Sus scrofa: one gene and its partner. Each later gene encodes a partner of the first gene's protein in a complex. Links are inferred from orthologs where the notes say so. Each region holds a gene or a part of one and is shown on either strand. Other genes may lie near its edges.

What was found.
Region 2: the proteins of ETFB (region 1) and ETFA are in contact, whole or in part, in a crystal structure (PDB 2A1U), measured with the Homo sapiens proteins. The link is inferred for Sus scrofa from reciprocal best matches to the Homo sapiens genes ETFB and ETFA. Residues at the interface, in NP_001976.1 of Homo sapiens: Ile14, Tyr16, Val18, Ile20, Val22, Val29, Thr31, Phe41, Leu102, Arg106, Lys124, Gln125, Ile127, Asp128, Asp129, Asp130, Cys131, Asn132, Gln133, Gln136, Met137, Ala139, Gly140, Phe141, Asp143, Trp144, Pro145, Gln146, Thr148, Phe149; in NP_000117.1 of Homo sapiens: Glu27, Leu88, Pro89, Glu90, Ser113, Ala114, Phe115, Lys117, Asn118, Pro121, Arg122, Ala124, Ala125, Lys126, Glu128, Val129, Ala130, Pro131, Ile132, Ser133, Arg146, Thr147, Ile148, Tyr149, Ala150, Gly151, Asn152, Ala153, Leu154, Cys155.

Annotation. Positions count from the first base shown.
Region 1 is NC_010448.4:58,500,448-58,504,783, reverse strand, and holds the start of ETFB (electron transfer flavoprotein subunit beta), read right to left. Parts: upstream 2,844-4,336; coding exon 2,787-2,843; intron 1,889-2,786; exon of another isoform or gene 1,668-1,888; intron 1-1,667. Other genes in the region: CLDND2 (claudin domain-containing protein 2), read right to left, coding at 3,645-3,718, 3,969-4,088. UniProt on the Homo sapiens protein: Heterodimeric electron transfer flavoprotein that accepts electrons from several mitochondrial dehydrogenases, including acyl-CoA dehydrogenases, glutaryl-CoA and sarcosine dehydrogenase.
Region 2 is NC_010449.5:56,537,352-56,541,647, reverse strand, and holds the start of ETFA (electron transfer flavoprotein subunit alpha, mitochondrial), read left to right. Parts: upstream 1-1,372; 5' UTR 1,373-1,495; coding exon 1,496-1,534; intron 1,535-4,296. UniProt on the Homo sapiens protein: Heterodimeric electron transfer flavoprotein that accepts electrons from several mitochondrial dehydrogenases, including acyl-CoA dehydrogenases, glutaryl-CoA and sarcosine dehydrogenase.

The DNA of each region.
Region 1 (4,336 bases):
ACTTAACCCATTGGGCAAGGCCAGGGATGGAACCCGCATCCTCACGGACACTACGTTGGGTTTTCAACCTGCTGAGCCACGAAGGGAACACCCTCATCCTCATTTTAAAGGTGGAGCAGGAATTTGCTGGTGGCTCCATGGGTTAAGGATCTAGCATTGTCACTGCTGTGGCTCTGGAACAACAACAAAAAAAGATGGAGCAACTGAGGCAGAAAGAGGCCAAGCAGGTGACCAGGGAAGGCCTCCCGGAGAAGGTGACCTTTGAGCAAAGTCTAGAAGGAGTGGGGAACACAAAGACAGGTCAGACAAACACACACACACACACACACACACACACACACACACCCCACCGGAAAGGAGGTGCCAGTTTAGGGGCACAGGGTGACATCTGGGCAAACAGGGGATCTCACTCCAGTATGGGAAGGGCTGAGGGACAAGACTGGGGGTTGCAGGAGCGCTCAAGGCCACATCCAGGTAGCCTCAGGGGATGGGGTGGGGGCCTTCCTGGAGGTGGCAATGCCACTGAATCACTAACCTTTGCTGCATTGCTTGGGGTCAAGGTTAGGCAGGCCACGAGAGGGCTAAGAAGCAGAGCTGGGAGGGTGGATCTGGAAGGGCATTCAGGCAGAAGGCACAGCGGGAGCAAAGGAAATGCCAAGAAGCAGCCTGGGCAGTCAGGAAAACATGAGCAGGCGGGAGCTGTGGAGGCACAAAGGGTGAGGAAGGCCAGGAGGCCAGGGCTGGACCCCGAAGGGTCTGGAGCACCAGGCTGAGGGGCTGGGACCCTGTCCTGGGGCTGCTGGGGGAGCGGTGGGAAGATGAGCCACAGCAGGGGTGGGGGTAGGGAGTCAGCCCTGATGATGAGCTACTGGTGGTGCGGGGGTGGGGTGGGGGGGAGGCCCCTCCAAGGCTGGGAGGGGATGGACTGGAGAGGAGAGACTGGGGACCTGGGGAGGAGAGGGTTCAGGTGGGACATGAACTGCTGGAGGAGGGGGAGCAGGACAGGGATGGAGAGGGCTGGAGGGATGGGCTGAGAAACCACAGGCTGTGGGGAGGGGAGGGGAGGAGGGGAGGGGCAGAGGGCTGGGATGGTGTCCAGGGTCTGGCCCGGTAATTAGGTAGTTGGCCGTGTCTGAATCGCTTATTTGTTCAGAAAGGGACCTCAAGGGACACATCCAGGAAGACAGGATGCGATGGAGGGAGCCCTGGGGTGTTGTGGGAGGGGCAGGCAGCTGAGGACATTGCGGGGGAGGGATGATGAAAGGAGCTCAAATAAGGACGGGTTCACCCATGGGCCAGGTCCTGTGCTGGGCGAAGCTCCAACCCAGAGCTCAGTCAAATGGGAGCCTGTCTGGGGTGGGGGCGGGAACGGACAGGTTTGACCCCAGACATCTCAGGTCAGGGACCAGGGCTAGGGGAGAGAGAGGCTTTGGGAGCCCAAAGGAACAGTGAGAAGGGGGCGGGAACCTGGAGGATCAGGCTTGTCCCCAAAAAGGCTGAAGGCAACCCCCCTGCCACTTGCTGCCAGGGCTGTCATTAGGCCGAGGGGCTGTTGAGTGAGGATGGGAGAAACAGAGAGGGGAGCCGGATTTGCCTGCACTTTTCAAACATGACTGCGGCTGCCTAGCTGATGATGTCGCAAGCAATGGAACCTGCAGTGTCCTCACCTGCCTGATGAGATTAATGATCAGTATTAACAGGACCGAATAGGGAAGCTTCTGTTGTGGCACGGTAGAAACAAATCCGACTAGCCTTCATGAGACGGCGGGTTCAATCCCTGGCCTTGCTCAGTGGGTTAAGGATCCTGTGTTGCTGTGACTATGGTGTAGGCTGGCAGCTGCAGCTGCGATTCCACCCCTGGGAACTTCCACAGGCTGGGGGTGCGGCCCTAAAAAGCAAAAGAAATAAAAAGGACTGACTAGGTTCATCTCTATCAAGGACTCAGAAGGATGCTGCCTAATGCATTAGTAAAAACTATACAGCCAATGCTGGGGACACAGCCGTGGGGTCCCAGTCTGATGCAGGGGGTGGGGAGGGTACAGACGTGGATGGACAGTCCCTACCTTCAGGCTGATTTAGGCCAAGTATGGAGACAGCGTCTCTCTGGGGGACAAGCCAGGCCCTCGGAGACCTTGCCAAGGTTACAACCCTGGCCCCTGCCTCTCTCAAGGAGGATGGGAGCTATTCCAACAGCTTGTCAGGGTGGCTTTTCATCTCTCGAAAGCACACTCCTCCCTTCCTAGCTAGAGCCTCCTCAGTCACCCTGGGGCTGTGACAGTTTCTGGGTTCCCACAGCGCCCCCGTTGGACCTCCATTAAAGCACACTGTGTGCGGTAGTCACGTGAGTGTGCAGTGCAGCCTAGTGGGTGAAAGCCTGGCTTGAGTGCAAAGCACTCGTTGGGATGCGGAGTCGGAGGGACCTGGATAGGAAATCCCGGCTCTGCCCCCTCCCAGCTGAGTGACCTCTCTGTGCCTCAGTTTCTCCGTGTGTTACAGACTCCTCCAGCAGCTGAGAAATAGAGAAGGTAAGTCGCCCTGCAGACAATTCTCAAGAGGGTGAGTCCAGAACTGGGGAACGAGGTCCTGACCCCAGAGGGGCTAGTTTTGAATGAAGAGGGCTCGGGCGTCAGAACCTCTCAGTTCTTGATCTTTGCCCTCAGGTGTGACTTTGACTTTTGCGGTCAGAGCGGCAGAGATAAGAGGTACCAGAAGAACCTCAAACAGTGTGCGCTCGTGACCCCGGAAGCACACGGCCGCGGGGTTCAGGGGGGGGGGGGCCCGGTCACCTTCACGGCGAAGTCGATGACTCTCTTGACAGCTACAAGCGCGCGCAGCTCCGCCATCTTCCTGCAGCGGCGACCAGCCGGGTCAGTCTTCGCTCTCGGCTTCACAGTCCGGACGCCCCGCCCCCCTGTCCTTCTCTGCGCCTGCGCCCCGCGCCGCCAGCCAGTCAACCGCTACGGTGCTCGCCTCCCCGTCCGACAGAGGACCAATCGGAAGGCCAGAGGGGAGGGAGGTGGGGCAAGCAGATGCGGACCAATAGAGAGCGGATCTTGGGGAGGGAGGCGGAACCCGGTGGGAAAGGCGAACATCCTTGCGGAGGGAGCGTGGCCGAGAACTAGGGAAAAGGTCGTGCAGCGGAGGGACACATTCCCGGAGAGTTCTCCACTTTTCCCAGTGCCCTCAGATCTTCCCCCTTCCCTAGTTCTCACCTCTTACTCGCCTGAGTCGCAGTGCCCGTGTCCCCACACCTCTGACTCCTCTGCGTCCCCCCGTTCCTTCCATGCCCGTGTTCCTCATCCCATGATTGTGTTTCTAGTTCCCCATATCCGATCTCCCCGTCCTTGTCTCCACTTTTCCTCCATGTCTGGGTCCCTACATCTTCTCTATGCGCCCACGTCCCCTCCTGACTCCATTATCCCTGTGTCCCCGTTCCCCTCCAAATACACCTCCCTTGACCTGTCCAGGTCCGAGTCTCCACTATGCCCGTGACCCCATGTCTACATGTTCCCTGTAGATTCAAGCCCTTACGTTTTCCCTGAGCCTCCAGGTACCCCCGCGTCCCCGTCCTCGCGTCCCCCAGAAAGGCACGTGAAACCGCGGCGGTGGAAGCCCTTCCTTTATTCTGTCCCAGGCAGCTGCGGTCACAAGCACACGGGGAATCCACTGATGGCATCTGTGCTCTGCAGGATCATGTCCGCCAGCAGAAAGCAGAAGCCTAACGGGAGGGGAACGGGAACGGAGGGAGGGTGGAGGAAAGGTGGGTTCTGGGGCGAATGGCCAGGAGGGCCCCGGGGACTGGGGTTTGGGGCTCTAGGGGCATTTCTGCCAGGTCCGCGGGAAAGCCGAGAGTGGAGTGTACTGGGGAGTCTCTGTGGTGTCTTGAGGAGGCTGGGGGGGGGGTCTCTGCAGGGAGGGGAGCGGCCCTCGGGGCAGTCTCCTCCACCCTCCTCCACTGTCCAGGTTACCCGCGAGAATAGAGAAGGGTAAAGCCAGCCACCCCGAAAAATAGGACCAGGAGAAGAAGACGTCGTCTTTCCATGCATTTTTCGCCGTGTAACCTGTCAAGGCGATCAGCAGCAAGAGGCCTGGGCCCCGCCCACCAACCGGATGAGTTTGGCCAGGGGGCTGCACCCCGACCCAGCCTGGCCACGCCCATGGCCTCAGGCCACGCCCTTCTGGGCCTCCTGCTGTTCCCCGTCTCCCAGGTCCCCGCCCCTGACCCCGCCCCTCTAGCGCCTCCTGCGTGGAGCTTTGTCCCCCCGGGACCCGCCACCTCCTCTCGTTCTCCAGCTCATTCCCTCCCGCCCCTTTCCTCGTCCTTCTAGTCGCGACC
Region 2 (4,296 bases), on another chromosome or scaffold:
TCAATGGGTTAGGTGTGGCCGTGAGCTGTAGGTCGCAGACATGGCTCAGATCAAGCCTTGCTATGGCTCTGGCATAGGCTGGGTGGCTACAGTTCCAATTCGACCCCTTGCCCGGGAACCTCCATATGTGTCCCGCCTGGGGGGGGGCACTTTCATTTTATCCTGAGAGCAATGGGGAGCCATCGAAGTGTATTCATTACCCGTTTACCCTTTTGAAAGAGCCCTTTGGTTGCAGTGCAAGATGGATTGAAGGGTGAAGACTGGAAGCTGGGAGAGCAGTAAGGAGGCAACCGCAACAATCCCAACACAGAGCAGGGTAGGAGATAGCCTTGGATGGATTGCGGAATTGTTTGGGGAATGGAATTGCTAAAATTTAATAACTCATAGGATAGGGAATAAAGGAAGAAACAGGTCAAATATGATTCCCAGATTTCTGGCTTGAGCAGCTGGGTGGAGGTGGAAAGCATTCCCTGAGAAAGAGAATGCTAGAGGGGGAATGAAATCCAGAAGAGAATGCCCAGTCAGTTGTGGGTGTATGGGTCTGTGGTGTAGAGGAACATCTGAGGAGATGCCCAGCAGGCAGGTGGATAGGATCCAAAGGTCAGGAGAGATTTGGTAGTCTAGGGCTTTGAAGCCAGGGTGCGGGTGGGGCTGCCCAGGGATAGGTAAGATGGGGAGAGAAGGAGGGCTCTGGTGGGGCCTCATGTTACACCTCCATTCAAGACCTTTCCAATCAGCTGTTTCAGCCCATCTCCAGCTGCTCTGCCTCCGTCAACAGGCAGCACACAGAATCCTGCGCTTTCTCCTTGGTCTTTCCCATCGTGTTCCTTCCCTGTTTGTGCTCAGGAGGGTCCATCTTTCAGAACCCAGCTTAAATACCACCGATTCGGAGAATCTCTTTTCCTAATAGCAATGCTATGTTTACTTGTATGTTTCTGCCATTGTCTGGTGAGATCAACATTTTATGCATCCTATTATTATATTCCCCTAACCTGGAAAATGTGTTTAGCATATTACAGATGTTAGTACTTATATTTGTGATTAAATGAAAGGGCAGAAGAATAATTGGAGTGAGAGGAGTGGCCTTCATCCAGAGGTTGAGAACCCAGCACAGTGACGTTATCAGCTCAGTGGGAAAGTTTAGCCTGTGCGCGCTGCACACTGGGGCCGGCAGACAGCCTGGACTTCCTTCACCCGCAGCTCTCCGGCTTTAACCCTGCCTTTGTAGAGTCCGGCTTCAGCCACAGCAGCCTAGCGCACAGCGTCAGTTTTGCCCCCAGTCCCAAGGCCAGCCCCTAACTTTCCGCCGTCCCCATTGGCTGCCCGACCGCCCAATAGGCAGGCAGGAACCGCGAGCTCTCTCTCCTTGAGGGGGAGTCCGCTCTCGTTCCCGCGTCTCGCGAGCGTTTCGGTGACTCGCGGAGGCGGTGTGGTTGGGTCAGCTGCAGGCTACTGTGGGGCTGAGGGTACTGCGAAGCGGCCTGGTGCAGTGACCATGTTCCGAGCAGTGGCTCCGGTGCATCTCCGGCGGGCGGTGAGTCCAGGCGGGGAGGGCCGAGCCCCGTGTCTGTCCAGCCTCAATCTGCTGTCCCCGGGCAGGTCTGTGTGAAGGTCATCGGCCCTCACATCCGGCAGGCCCAGTCTGGCCTGGGACTCAGGCTCAAAGTTCTTGGGGTTTGGCCGTTCCTCTTTCCGCGACGCCAGCTCGGGGTCGAGGTCAGAGGTCAGAGTACTGAAGCTGCCCTCCTGCTGCCCTTCTCCCTCCCCGCCTTTTTTTCTAAGCCCTTTTCGCATCCTTCAGTTTTCTTCCTTGTACTGCGAGGCTGCCAGGTTCTCCACCTCAGGCGGGGAGCGAGCAGCTGCGCCCCCGGGAATCTTTACGCACGGGAGGAAAATGTCGCCGCTGGGATGCTGTCTTGGAAAAAGTTGAAAACCTGAATTTATCTCGAAACCTGACACTTCTGGAAGAATTAAACATTTTCCTTGGTCGTAGTGTGTCTGCTCGCATCCACTCACTATCAAGAGGGGTGGTGCGGTTATGGAAACTTGCTCTACTCTCTGGCTAATGAGGCAGGGCTGAATTTAAGTGATTGCATGTGTAACCTATCATCCAGTTTGAAGGTTTAGCTAATTCCGAAAGGCAGGTGTCTTTTTACTGCAAGCTGATCTGCTTTTAAACGATCAGATTGTTGGTTAAATAGCTAGGGAACTGTTGGTAGGGGTGTTTTTGATGCTTTCATTAATTACAAATCGTGAGTTTACCATATTTTTCTATGGTGAGAAAGATGATAGAAAATATGTTTTTGTTCTAATGCTAGTGGGACAATAGTATTTGGAGTTGACCAATTACAAGTTAAGTAACAATTTATATTGTAGATACTGTAGCTTTTCTAATTTGCAATTTGGTTAAGTGACAAACAAGATTACTAAACTTTCCTGACGTTTTGTACTTTTTCTACCGTTCTTCTGGTGCATTCAGTTTCTTATCCACTGCTGCAGTTTTCTCTCAGTGACGTAGTTGGCAATCTTTCTAGAGGTCTGAAGCTCTACCTCACCCCCTCCAGTTCCAACCCATATCCTTCAGGTCAGCAATCAGTCTTTCTCCCAGAAATTTTCCTCAGAGGATCCAGACATAAACAAATTAAAGTCATGGATTTGGGAAAGTTCCATGTTTCAGAGCCAGACTCTTATCTATACAGAATTGAAAGGTAGTTTTGTGGACAGGTTAGAAGTCTGGCATAAGTGAAATGGTTATGGAGGAGGAATTTAGAATCAAGTTACTTTGTAGAGCCAAGAACAACAAAATAGAACGACTAGCTTAAATTATAATTATAAACACAGTTTGCAGTATGTATAGACAGTATTTCCAAATCTTTACTGTGATTTGCCAAAGACTTTGACCTTGACTTATTTTCAGAATTTGACGTCCTGAGTAGCTTCTCTAAAGTCATTAAGACCATTTGAGAGATTTGAATTTCAAGGGTATAGGAAAATGATGAGAATACTTCTAAAAGGGATGCATAAATTTATGTACATTTTTAACTTTAAAAATTTTGCAGTTTTATTCTTACGGAAAAGTTGCAAGAATAGTACAAAGAATTCTCAAAACCCTTTGCTGAGTTTCACCAGCTGTTAAACAGTTTGGCAAATTTGCTTGCTCTCTCCATATACACATATTATTGTTTTTTTGAACCATTTGAAAGTATGTTTCAGACATGCCCTGTACTCCTAAATAGTTCAGTGTGTTTTCTATGAACAAATAGGTTCACCTTTCATAAACACGGTATAATTGGCAAAATCAGCATATTTACCAATGATGGAATATTATTGAATCTACAGACATTATTCAAGTATTGCCAATTGTCTTCTTAGTCATTTGTAGCAATATTTCTTATTCTGCGCTAGGATACTTCAGGATCATGCTTTGCATTTAGTTCTCACCTCTCTTAAGTTTTTGTTAGCAAAGCTTCTCGCCTTTCTTTGGCTTTAATGGTATTGACATTTTTGAAGGGTACATGCCTTCTCTTTTGTTGACTGTTTCCTGAATTAGGTTTGTCTGGTGTTTCCTCTGATTAGTTTCAGGTTCTGTATTTTTGGCAGGAGTATCACAGAAGTGGTATTAGGTTCTCAGTGCATGTGAAAGGAGGCTGGTAATGTGGTTTATCCCATTATTGGTGACATTAATTACTTGGCCAAAGTGTTGTTTGCCAGGTTTCTCCACTATCATATTTCTGCTCCTCCCTTTGTAATTTTTAACTAATTTGCGGGGAGGTACATTGAGACTACGTAACTCTTCTCTTTCTCACCAGACTTTCACCCAGTAGTCTTATCTGTTGATGATTCTTGCCTGGGAAATGATTACTGTGATGTAAAACAGTGATTTTTCTAATTCCATCATTCCTTTTACATTAATGAGCTTTCTGTTATTTATAAGGAAGAACATTTCCTTCTTGCTTATTTATGTACTTTTTTTTTGCTCACTTCATTCAGTAGGTTATAATCCATGACTGCTCTTTAAATATTTTGATGCTCAAGTTGTCCCAGATTTCTAAGGTGCAAGTCCCTTCAGTCTGGCTCCTGTTTACTTATATTTATGAAACTGTAAAGTCAGAATGGCTTATCTGAATCTCTACTCTTGAAATTAAAAAAAAAAAATTTGTTCTGTAGCTAACCATGAGTAAAATTAGGAAGATATGTTTCTCCAGGACTATATTTTTAATAATAGATTAATCTATTACAATATTTAAAAGGTTTAAACTGGTAACAGTGTGAATTTAGATAACAGTACTAAACTGT